Daphnia pulex: one gene and its partners. The protein of the gene in region 2 purifies or fractionates together with the protein of the main gene of each other region. This does not show direct contact. Links are inferred from orthologs where the notes say so. Each region holds a gene or a part of one and is shown on either strand. Other genes may lie near its edges.

Region 1 (3,027 bases), on a different chromosome or scaffold from region 2:
GACACAAAATTGTCTCATGTACACGGGGACGTCATCCGGGTGGGTTTCGTTCCCATAATTACGTACCGACGAAAAGAGCAGGTGAACGACGGGCGAATGGCGAAACAGAAACAAACAAAAATCCTTAACACAACTCAAAAAAGGAAAACAAATGGGGGGGAAACACACATCAGAGGTCGGTGAGCTGTCCGAAAGGACTAAAACAAAAAAAAATTAAAGCCAAGCCACCCGGACGTCTTGGTGCCACCGGGAGTAGATAACCTACTGCGGCGAACTGGGAAAACGCCCCGGCGCAAGCGCAGCATAACTCTCTCGCGTCTTTCCCCCTTTTGCATCCATCGTCCCGTGAGCTGCGTGTGCAGGACCCCCACTAATGGAGAGAGAGAGCAGCCAGCTTTTCCACGTCGTGCAGCCCGGCCCCTATATACAAAGAACGATCAATAATAAAAACCCCAGGTCGCTTTTGTGCGGCCGTCAAGAAGAGGAACGCACTCGTCGTACGACTATCTGACACTTGTGGCGTCTTCTTCACAACTATTTGTTGGCCACCACCTGGAAAATAAGACGAGCCAAATGTATATCGACCCGATGCACAGAAAAGGTTCCCTCATCACAGCGGGGCATCGAACAGGAAATAATGCTTTCTCAAGTGTAATCCAAGACGTTCATTTGTCTGGCCAATGTGGGATCGCATGACCGAAATAAAGCGCCACACTACGGCATATGTAATAATGACATTCGATCTAACACAAGGTCAAGTGATACGCCCTCTAAATGGATATTGTTGGAACGAAACTGGAAAAACACAAAAATTGATTGGAAGAATAAACATGGTTTTTTTTACGGATGAAAACAATTTCCCATGATTTTCAAGATATGATGAAAATTGTAACATGAATTGAAATGATTTTTTTTTTGTTTCATTCAACAACTGAAGAAGCTAGATCATTAACAACAACTAAAAGGTCATTTTCCAAATTGACCAGTTGTCCAGTGTTTGCTGTCTTGCTGGCAATCAGACTTATTGTCAGCGGACTCTTGTTCATTTGAATCACCTAGTACAATCAGGAGAAAAAGGTTTCACAACACTTTCTTAAATAGTCTGTAATTGAAAATTGTTATACCTGATAATTTGAATAGATAGAAATGATTTTGTTATTTTTTCCAACTCCAAGCTTTCCAGCTTGATCTGTTGCCCTGTGGAAATCACAAATGAAAAATTATGTTGACTTGTTGTGTGGATACGATTACGTAGCTAATTGATTTCTACAAACAAGCCCTTACATAGCTGAAAAGGTGGAAAGGTAACTTGGTCTAAGGGCCATCTCGGGTGCAGAATCAAGGGCCACTGTAAAGATAAAAACAAATCGGGAAATGAATTTGAGATCACAATATACTGAATATTTACAAACCTTTGACTAGAGGCACACCATCTCGGTCAGTTATAATAATTGCCAAAAGACCGTCCACTCTGAAAATAGGGCAGTACAAAAGATAAACATAGTTTATAAACCTATCAAGACTTTTCTTATATAATCAATGGTAGAGTTTAGCCATGTTTAACTTACCGCTGTAAAATGCACGCAACATATTTTCGCAATTCCTGCCGAAAGAAAACAGAAACAGTTTTTTAAAGAAAGATTTAAGAAAAACATCGTTAACTGACAAATAAATTACGCCCACAAACATTACCTCCATTAGTCAAGTCTGTGACTTTTTTATGAATCACAGTTCACAACATCAATAGCAGATTAGCAGAAGAAGTCAGCAAGTGTCAGCAAATATTTATTAACAAAAGCGCCATCTAAAAGTCGGAAAATCAGTAAATTAATGTTTCCATATGTCACCACTAGATGAGTTTGTTGTGATCATTTACTCTTAAGCCACGTAACATCTGATGTACTTAAAATGATACATTATTAATTATAATGAAGTGTATTATTTTATCGCGTGTAATCGAATGTTTACAATTGATATTTCATGAACTGCACTTCGTGATTCATTTATCGCGCGTAATTTGCAAATTTCCGCGACATCTAGCGAATTGTTTGATAGCTTATAATCAAAACAAAACATAGGAGGGTCTTGTTTTGACAGGGCGATCCCGCCTACACGTTTTTTTTTATTATTATTATTATTTTTCCGCTTCCCCGTCATAAAACTTTCTCCAACTATATATAGTCGTGATTGGTTTACTCAAGATATCTGACAGCCTTAGAATTCGTCGCTGTGATGTTTTAATTCCTACAAACTGCAATTAATCAAATACTATTTAATATCATGGAAACCATTCCACTCTCTCCAACCCACAAAAAAGCAAGATTTGGGAACTGTTGTTCTGGCCAACAAAATGATGGGCTAAGAGTGATTATCTTTTGCTTTGGAGTTCTATGCATCTGTGTCACAATTGCATTAGTTATAAGCATCTATCTAGGAGATCCTGAGGTGTGTATCCATTTTTCTACTCAATGACAACATTTATACATTCCTGCTATCTACACAACAAATTAATATTGAAATTTCACATTTAGATACTGCCACGAGGTGCAGTTGCAACAGACAGCCAGCAATGCTCTCAAATCGGTGTTGATACCCTTCAAAAAGGGGGTAATGCAATCGATGCAGCAGTTGCAGCAATGTTCTGCATGTGTGTTGTCAATCCTCACATCACTTCACTTGGAGGGTGAGATCAATATTTTGAAATGCAATGCTTGTCATCCCTGCATCCTCTTTCAAAATCTATTTTAAAATTAATGTTGACAGTGGTGGAGCTATGATTATACTCAACCACCTGACTTCAAAGCCACCAATGGTCATCAACTTTCAAGACGCAGCCCCCGGACCAGTGAATGCGTCTTTGATCGTCAACGGCCAAGGACCCTTGGCTGTGGGAATCCCCGGTCTTTTGAGTGGCCTGTGGGAGAGTCACAAGAAATTTGGCAAACTGAAGTGGGCGGATCTTTTACAACCCTCCATCCAGTTGAGTAATCTCGGGATTAACGTGTCATCTCAGCTAGCTGGGGCGGT
Region 2 (4,214 bases):
AATTTATGGATAGTGAAGTACATCACCGTTTGTCCATGGCCCAAATGTTGCAACCCGCCCCAGTTGCCCCACAGCTCCACCTGCCTGAATCCCCATTAATCTACAGCAATCGCGAGGCGTACATGGAAGATTTCAAGATTCTCGAGAAAAAGATTCTCAAAGATGTCGGTGATGTTTGAAAGAGAACGTGAAAAATAAACGATACGAGAACGTTATATATTGAAATCGGAACCGACCTGTCTAAGCGTAGCGGCCATCAATTGGTGACGACAAATTGGGCAATTAAATTTAGTAGACCACACAACATAATAAAACCGTGCACAATATACACCCATGCCGGAGCTCGGCCGTTATTCTGCTTCCTGTAAGACACGACGTACAATATACTGGGTAGTGTGAAGACGTAGACCAAACCACACAAAGCGCCGGAGAATCTGGATGAGTAAATATAAACGACCAATTAGCACGGCGATGGGAAACCCGGTTATCAATTCATTCGACTTGCGTACCTTGTTATGGTGCCGACCTGCGGCAAGAAGATGGCGAATACAACGCAGACGGACAGCAATATCACGTTGAGAGAAAATACGTGGTTAAAGCTGGGATAAATGGAATTAAAGAAAGCGTACAGAATCTGCGTTCTCAGGATGTAAGCGAGTAACGGAAAGACCGTCATCATTTGAAAGAGCAAAAAGACGCGAGCTATAACGGTTAGCGTATCCGAACGCGAAAAATTGTTCAACAAATTCTAGAAAGCCCAAAAGAAAAAAATTAAATTAATTCCTCGAAATCTTAATGAACGAATCATTTTCAATTACGTCTTCGATGCAATCCTTCTCGAGGGGAAATGTGAGGTAGAAAGTTGCTCCGATACCTAAATAAGTCAGCGCTACCAGGGTGTAGGCGATACTCAAATCACGGCCCTAAAACACAAAAGAAAAATTTTATTCAATGTAAGGCCAAAATGAGAAAGAGAAATGTAAAAATTACGTTGCACTCTTGGCGCCGATTGTTCTTCATGATGCTCACGACGCAATTGTGCAAGTACAGCGCCAAGGACAACATGCCCGACAAAGCCGGAAAGTTGGAGCGCAACAAAGGCACGTAGAAGGGTGAAGTAGTGTCGCTAAATTCGACGTGCACTCCCCATTGGGACGCTTTGGTGACAACGAATGCCATGATGTAGAATACCGAGACTGTGCCCAGTGCATTAAACTTGGTGAAAAAGGTGGCTGACTTTAGGCAGATTAGGGGCAGCAATAGGAGAGCCATGTAAATAGGAACAGTCAGATCCAAATTCCAAATTTTGTCAAAGGTAGAAGCTCCATTCTGGAATATCGGTCCATTCAGGAGTGACGAGAAAGTCAGATTATCGATCGGATCCGGACAAAACACTGTTAAATGTAAAAAAAAAAAAATGTAAATAAAAGAACAAATAAACATAACCTATTGAAACTCACGATTAAACGCCGAAGTATTGTCATCGTCCACGGACAACAGGGTAACAGACGTCGTCGTCGTAATCAGATCTGTTTGATTAAACAAATGATATATTTTTGAAGATTTTTTCGACCGTTCAAAATTTTAGATCGTATAAAATTGAAGTTCTTTACCATACACGTATTTGACCGTATGATAGAGGAAGTTGGACATGAGAACCCAGTACACCGCACTTGCCCCAAGTAATGAAAGTGCCGAAAAGAGAACGGAAACCCATTGACCGACACGCCCCAGCAGGAACATGCAGAGATCTGGAAAGTCCGCAAGATTTTCCTTCTCACCTGCAATAAAAACCAAACTGAATTACGTCATTCAAAGATACCATGACCGAAAGTAATATACCGTAGATGCCGTAAACTTGAAGGATACAAAAGGCAGTGTAAAAGCAGATGGCTGCCATGACAAGGATCAGTGACAATCCAGCTACCAGTCCTGCTTGCTCAACAGCCCATGGCATTGAGAGTAACGACGTACCCATCATTGTGTTCCAAACTGCAAATCTACAAAAATTTAAAAAAAGAATTGAATGTTGATTACAAGCTTTATCTTGTATAAAAAAATAAAAGTTGGAAAATGATTTAGTTACATAGTTATTAAACTGCTTTGTTTGCCAGTTAAAGGAACTGTGCCAGGAATGTATGGGTAGAAAAAGATGGATGGCACAACATGATCAGGTATCAACTAAACAAAATAATTTTGACAACCATCAAAGGAATTATCCTAAAACCAACTAGATACTACCATGAGACAGCAACTCTTATTTGTCTCATGTAAAAAGACCTAATGTTTGTACCAATGCTTGATCATTTCCAATGGTGGGTCCTCTTAATCTCTGGTAGTATTTATAGCGTGAGTAAGTAGCTTCCTGAGCATTATCGTATGGTACAGCATCAATCAAGACAGGGGATTCAGCACGATTTGCTGCAATGGTACTCTGTAAGTGGAATGGACGTCTCGTTCGTTGTTTTGAATTGGCATCCCGAACTCGTATTCCTCTTAACGTTGGCGAAGATCTGGTGGTTAAAACACAAGCAATTGCCAATTAGCCGACATTTGATTATATGCAACGAGAAATTCATTTTATTACCTGCCAAGATCTGATGATGAATCTAGTGTCACCTCACTAGCTACGTCTGAATCTGGTAATATGACGTCCACATCTCTGTTCATTGTTTAAATTAATTATAGAACTAATTCTGATAACTTCGTTGCCAACCGATGGGTCGGGTAAGTAAACAAAGACTAGTTTGAAGGAACTTGTTTTCGTGAGACCCATAGAACTTTGACAAGCAAGCAGACGGATGTCTACAAAACATGTGAAGCCTTCTGAAGCCTTATCGCACCGGCTAGTCCGTTGGAATGCAACAATACAAAACAATTCTCAAAATCTTTTCTTTGTTAAACCTAGACATAATTTTATCGTATTTTATATTTTAATTTGACCTCCAAAAAAGTTGTCAACAAAATTTCTGTGTTGTTTTTTGGGTGTATTTTTAAAAAAGGTTTTTAAAAAAAGACGTACTAGTAGTTAGTAGGTCAATGACCGAGCGCAAAGTGACAGAACTATGGGGCGGATTAAAATTTCATCTCGTTTTCTTATATGTTATTGGAATTTGTTGCATACAACATGCATTTCATCAGCTTTCAATATAATGCCAGACTCTCGATTTCTTGCGTCACGTGCCGTGATTAACTTGCTTTAGTCAGAAAACAAATGATCCGTCTTAGAACAGATGTTGATATGATAATGGAAAGTGCGCCATTAACAGTATATGGGGCTCTTCGGGATCTGTTTTATTTAGCCGATTTATCTGGCAACGCAGCATGGCGCCAGTCTTTTTTGAGGGAAGAACGGGGAGAAGAGGGAGAATGGGACGAGTGGGAGGGAGGAGGGCGTCCTCCCATTCTCCCTCTTCTCCCCGTTCTTCCCTCAAAAAAGACTGGCGCCATGCTGCGTTGCCAGATAAATCGGCTAAATAAAACAGATCCCGAAGAGCCCCATAGGCCTCATTATCATCTTTTTAATACAAATACGGTCACATGCAGTTAATCGTGGTGAATCATATATTTAGTATTAAATAAGTTAACAAGCAATGATTCAAGTAAAAGCGTCTACTGAACAAACAAGAATGGGGATACATTTTTTTAAAATGTGGTAATAATGTTGGCCAAATCGATACTTTTAATCTTATCATTATCTATTATCTAAAAAAGATATTTTGCGTAAGGGTTGTTTCCTGCTCTCCGTTAGATTTTCGGACCGTCCAATCACGACAACCTCCACGGCAATTGCAGCAAAATTGGTCACAATCACTGGAGCCACAACAAGGATCCCCCGGAGTTTCATCCCAACAGTTGCCGCTGGATTGCGGTTCGCAACAATCAATGGCCTCAACCGGATACGACACCATCCACAGAGTAATCAAAAGAATGAAAATGCATAGTGAAGACACCATTGTCTCAGTTAAATCTGTCAGTTAGCAAAATAATAATTTTCTTATTTTAAATTAAGTTCAACTAATACTACATAAATTTTAATAATTTTGACTATTTAAATATAAAAATGCAATTTACGGTTATGCAGGACTTTTTCTTGTAGACCGCTTTGTGCGTACCGAATTCGTCGATGACTGCGCTAGATGTAGGACAAACTGAGAAGTGATCACGGACCTTAAGAAATAAGAATGTTAGTTAAACCCTAGAGGAGCAAGATA
Region 3 (2,763 bases), on a different chromosome or scaffold from region 2:
TTTCCCAGACTATTTCCCAGACAGGCGGAGTTCGGTCAGGCAATAATTAATCGTCTTGCGATTCTGCATTGGATATCTATTCTTTATTTCTCAACTCCCTTTCCAGATTCCTGAAAATGAACTATACGGATAAGGATCCCCCCCATAGGCTGGGATAACCGCGGATCGTTTATTTTTAAAAAACCTTGAAAAAAAAAAAAAAAAAGGCAATCTGTAAAAAAAAGCTACAGGTAATTAGGTATAGCGCAGTTAAAAATTTCTGCTGTTTACGACGTATACGCTCATGAAAATTTCTAGAATTTCTGATATGTACACAATGATATATTTTCACTTTTTCTTCCCATTGCATTAGGAAATTACTATTTGTAACACAAAATAGGCCCACATCTTTTAAAAAATAAACAGAAACAAACGAAATCGAGCACACCACTGCAGCTAAAGCACAAATTTTGAACCGAAGGCGTATACCAAAGGTTCTTATTTATTTTTTTTATCATGTGGCTTAAAGTTTGAATGCTAAGAAAAATAAAGAATATATGAGAACCTATTTGTATATCTACACAAAAACTTAGATTTCTCAGATTTTTTGCATTTATGTATTGGTTTTGTAGACGGCAAGAGTCATTCCCATATTCTGATGAATCAAACACTGACTGCAGAAACAGAAAAAGTTAAAAATAAATCAGCACTTAGAAAATAAAAATAACATAGAAAGACATTGTTACCATACCTTTCATGGTTTTCAAACAAAATGACAGGATCTCCTTTCCCAGGCTCTAATGTTGTTGCCAAATGTGACAGAGAAGTCAATGAGCCGGAGTAGTTTGAATTGGCAACACCTTGTGCTATATTATAAACAATGTGTTCATATTTATAAAAAAACAATTGTGTTTCAAAAAAGAAGCTTTTGTCTTACACGTTAAGCACATGCCCTGTCTGTCTGCACACAATACGCCCACTACTCCAGGCGAAGTCATCCTAAATCGACACAATTTTATGTTCCAATCGGTTTTTTAAATGTAACGATTTCTGATTTACTTACAATTCTTCAACACATTTTTGAACTTCTTTATCCATAATAGCAATGGTATTTTGTATAAACAGGAACTAACTGAAGGATATCAGAAACAGAAACCGACAGGCTAACAAAATCTTGTTGATTTATTTTGCTAGCACCTATTAACCATCTACAGTCTGCCACAGTAGAAAAGGAAGTGGAACTTGGGAAGCCTGTCAGAGACAGAGAGTCAAAACAATGTAGTCAAACTGACTCACCTCAAGGCCTGTCAACTGCAGCTGTTTATTGCAATTTCTGTTATTTCATTGTAAAACATTAGATTTGGATTTTTTAAAACGTAGAAAAAAAAACAATAATGTGAAAAGAAATTTAGTAGTATCTTATTAATTTATTATAACATTACTTTTTTTAGTTTTTTATTTTGGCCAGAATTTGGATGGTAGCGCTAGGTGGCAGGATTTAGCAGCTCGAATGATTTGGCATGGATGATTTGGTAAGACTTCTGAGGGTAGCGCGCAGCGCGTTAATAATTGATAGCAAACAGAGAAAAATTGGGATTCAGATTTAATTTGCTTTGGGAGACAAACCAGGGTAAAACATATCGCGATGTTGTGATACCGATACGGATTCACAAGGGAAAATTCCACTGTTTCTCCTTTGCAATGCGCGTTCCACGTTTACTGAACAAAAGCAGGAAGTATATCCATGTTATTTTGTAGAAATCTAATAATAGCTTCAATTATTTTTCATGAACAAATTTTTCTCTACTGTAATCCGCTACTTTCATCCAAATATAGCACTGATCGGGAGCAGAGGAATTCACGATTTAGACACTGACAATAAGAAATAAACTGGCATTCTGCGATCGCTCCATATATTTCCTGAAATACGAAAAAGTACGAAAAATAGCTGTGATAGAATGACATAAGCTGTAACTTAAAAATACACATTTTGTAAACATTTAAAAATTACGAGAAAATTAGAGCCGAGATATGAATCATTTTGATGACAAGAAATGTGCGTCAACTTTACGCTTTAAAGTCTCAATTTGTCCATGGCTATATTCCAATGTTTTTCGTTGTGAGCAGCTTCCATGAGCTCTTGGTGTTTGCGCTTCTGCCGTTCCAGATGATTAAACTCTTCTTCTCTTTGCTGTTTGTGATCAATTTGAGCCTGAAGATCTACTTTCGTTTGAAACTGTTTAGCTTTATTTTCCATTTCTTTCTTCTTTGCTTGATTATGATAGCTCTCGAGTGAATGAACCAGCTCTTCTCGATCGCGCAGCAGTTGCTGTCTTTCTTGTCGTGCAGCGATTATTTTTTGGTCAATCTAAATAAGCAACAAGAACCATGATGAAAAATTACATCTTAACCGTTTTCAAAATAACTGTTAAAGACTTACCTGCTTCTCCTGAATGGCTATCACCTCTTCAATTAATTTTTTTCGAGCCAACCTTTCGGCTTCCCACTCTAATTCCCGTTTTTCCCACATTCGCTTAGCCTCCTCCCTGTGAAGGCAGATATTCGACATATTATTTTACAAATGAACTTAAAATAATCCAAAAAGAATAATCAATTACTGGAATAAAAACTCGCTCTGCTGCAGGCGTTCTTTTTCGATTCGACGATGGTTTTCAACGAGTTGTAAAAATCGTTGAATGTCTTGACGTGTTTTTTCTTTTTCTAAAGCAGAATCACTTTCATTTGGGAAAAGTTTCTCGGCAAAGCTCATTTCTTTTTCCAAAT

Evidence for each region.
Region 1: the proteins of sodium-coupled neutral amino acid transporter 9-like (region 2) and ragulator complex protein LAMTOR3-like purify together in Homo sapiens (affinity purification with mass spectrometry; 3 studies listed by BioGRID and IntAct, with this or other methods). This does not show direct contact. The link is inferred for Daphnia pulex from reciprocal best matches to the Homo sapiens genes SLC38A9 and LAMTOR3.
Region 3: the proteins of sodium-coupled neutral amino acid transporter 9-like (region 2) and ragulator complex protein LAMTOR5 homolog purify together in Homo sapiens (co-immunoprecipitation; 5 studies listed by BioGRID and IntAct, with this or other methods). This does not show direct contact. The link is inferred for Daphnia pulex from reciprocal best matches to the Homo sapiens genes SLC38A9 and LAMTOR5.

Annotation. Positions count from the first base shown.
Region 1 is NC_060018.1:11,755,924-11,758,950, forward strand, and holds ragulator complex protein LAMTOR3-like, read right to left. Parts: upstream 1,797-3,027; 5' UTR 1,699-1,796; coding exon 1,693-1,698; intron 1,604-1,692; coding exon 1,569-1,603; intron 1,472-1,568; coding exon 1,413-1,471; intron 1,349-1,412; coding exon 1,285-1,348; intron 1,198-1,284; coding exon 1,125-1,197; intron 1,056-1,124; coding exon 921-1,055; 3' UTR 636-920; downstream 1-635. Other genes in the region: glutathione hydrolase 7-like, read left to right, coding at 2,281-2,445, 2,532-2,683, 2,764-3,027. UniProt on the Homo sapiens protein: As part of the Ragulator complex it is involved in amino acid sensing and activation of mTORC1, a signaling complex promoting cell growth in response to growth factors, energy levels, and amino acids.
Region 2 is NC_060019.1:7,950,103-7,954,316, forward strand, and holds sodium-coupled neutral amino acid transporter 9-like, read right to left. Parts: upstream 2,813-4,214; 5' UTR 2,671-2,812; coding exon 2,588-2,670; intron 2,514-2,587; coding exon 2,294-2,513; intron 2,182-2,293; coding exon 2,087-2,181; intron 2,001-2,086; coding exon 1,843-2,000; intron 1,782-1,842; coding exon 1,614-1,781; intron 1,530-1,613; coding exon 1,461-1,529; intron 1,395-1,460; coding exon 991-1,394; intron 924-990; coding exon 819-923; intron 749-818; coding exon 510-748; intron 435-509; coding exon 257-434; 3' UTR 198-256; downstream 1-197. Other genes in the region: dynein axonemal intermediate chain 3-like, read left to right, coding at 1-179.
Region 3 is NC_060023.1:5,836,338-5,839,100, reverse strand, and holds ragulator complex protein LAMTOR5 homolog, read right to left. Parts: upstream 1,259-2,763; 5' UTR 1,078-1,258; coding exon 1,043-1,077; intron 979-1,042; coding exon 917-978; intron 846-916; coding exon 731-845; intron 654-730; coding exon 593-653; 3' UTR 581-592; downstream 1-580. Other genes in the region: trichoplein keratin filament-binding protein-like, read right to left, coding at 2,054-2,347, 2,420-2,525, 2,598-2,763. UniProt on the Homo sapiens protein: As part of the Ragulator complex it is involved in amino acid sensing and activation of mTORC1, a signaling complex promoting cell growth in response to growth factors, energy levels, and amino acids.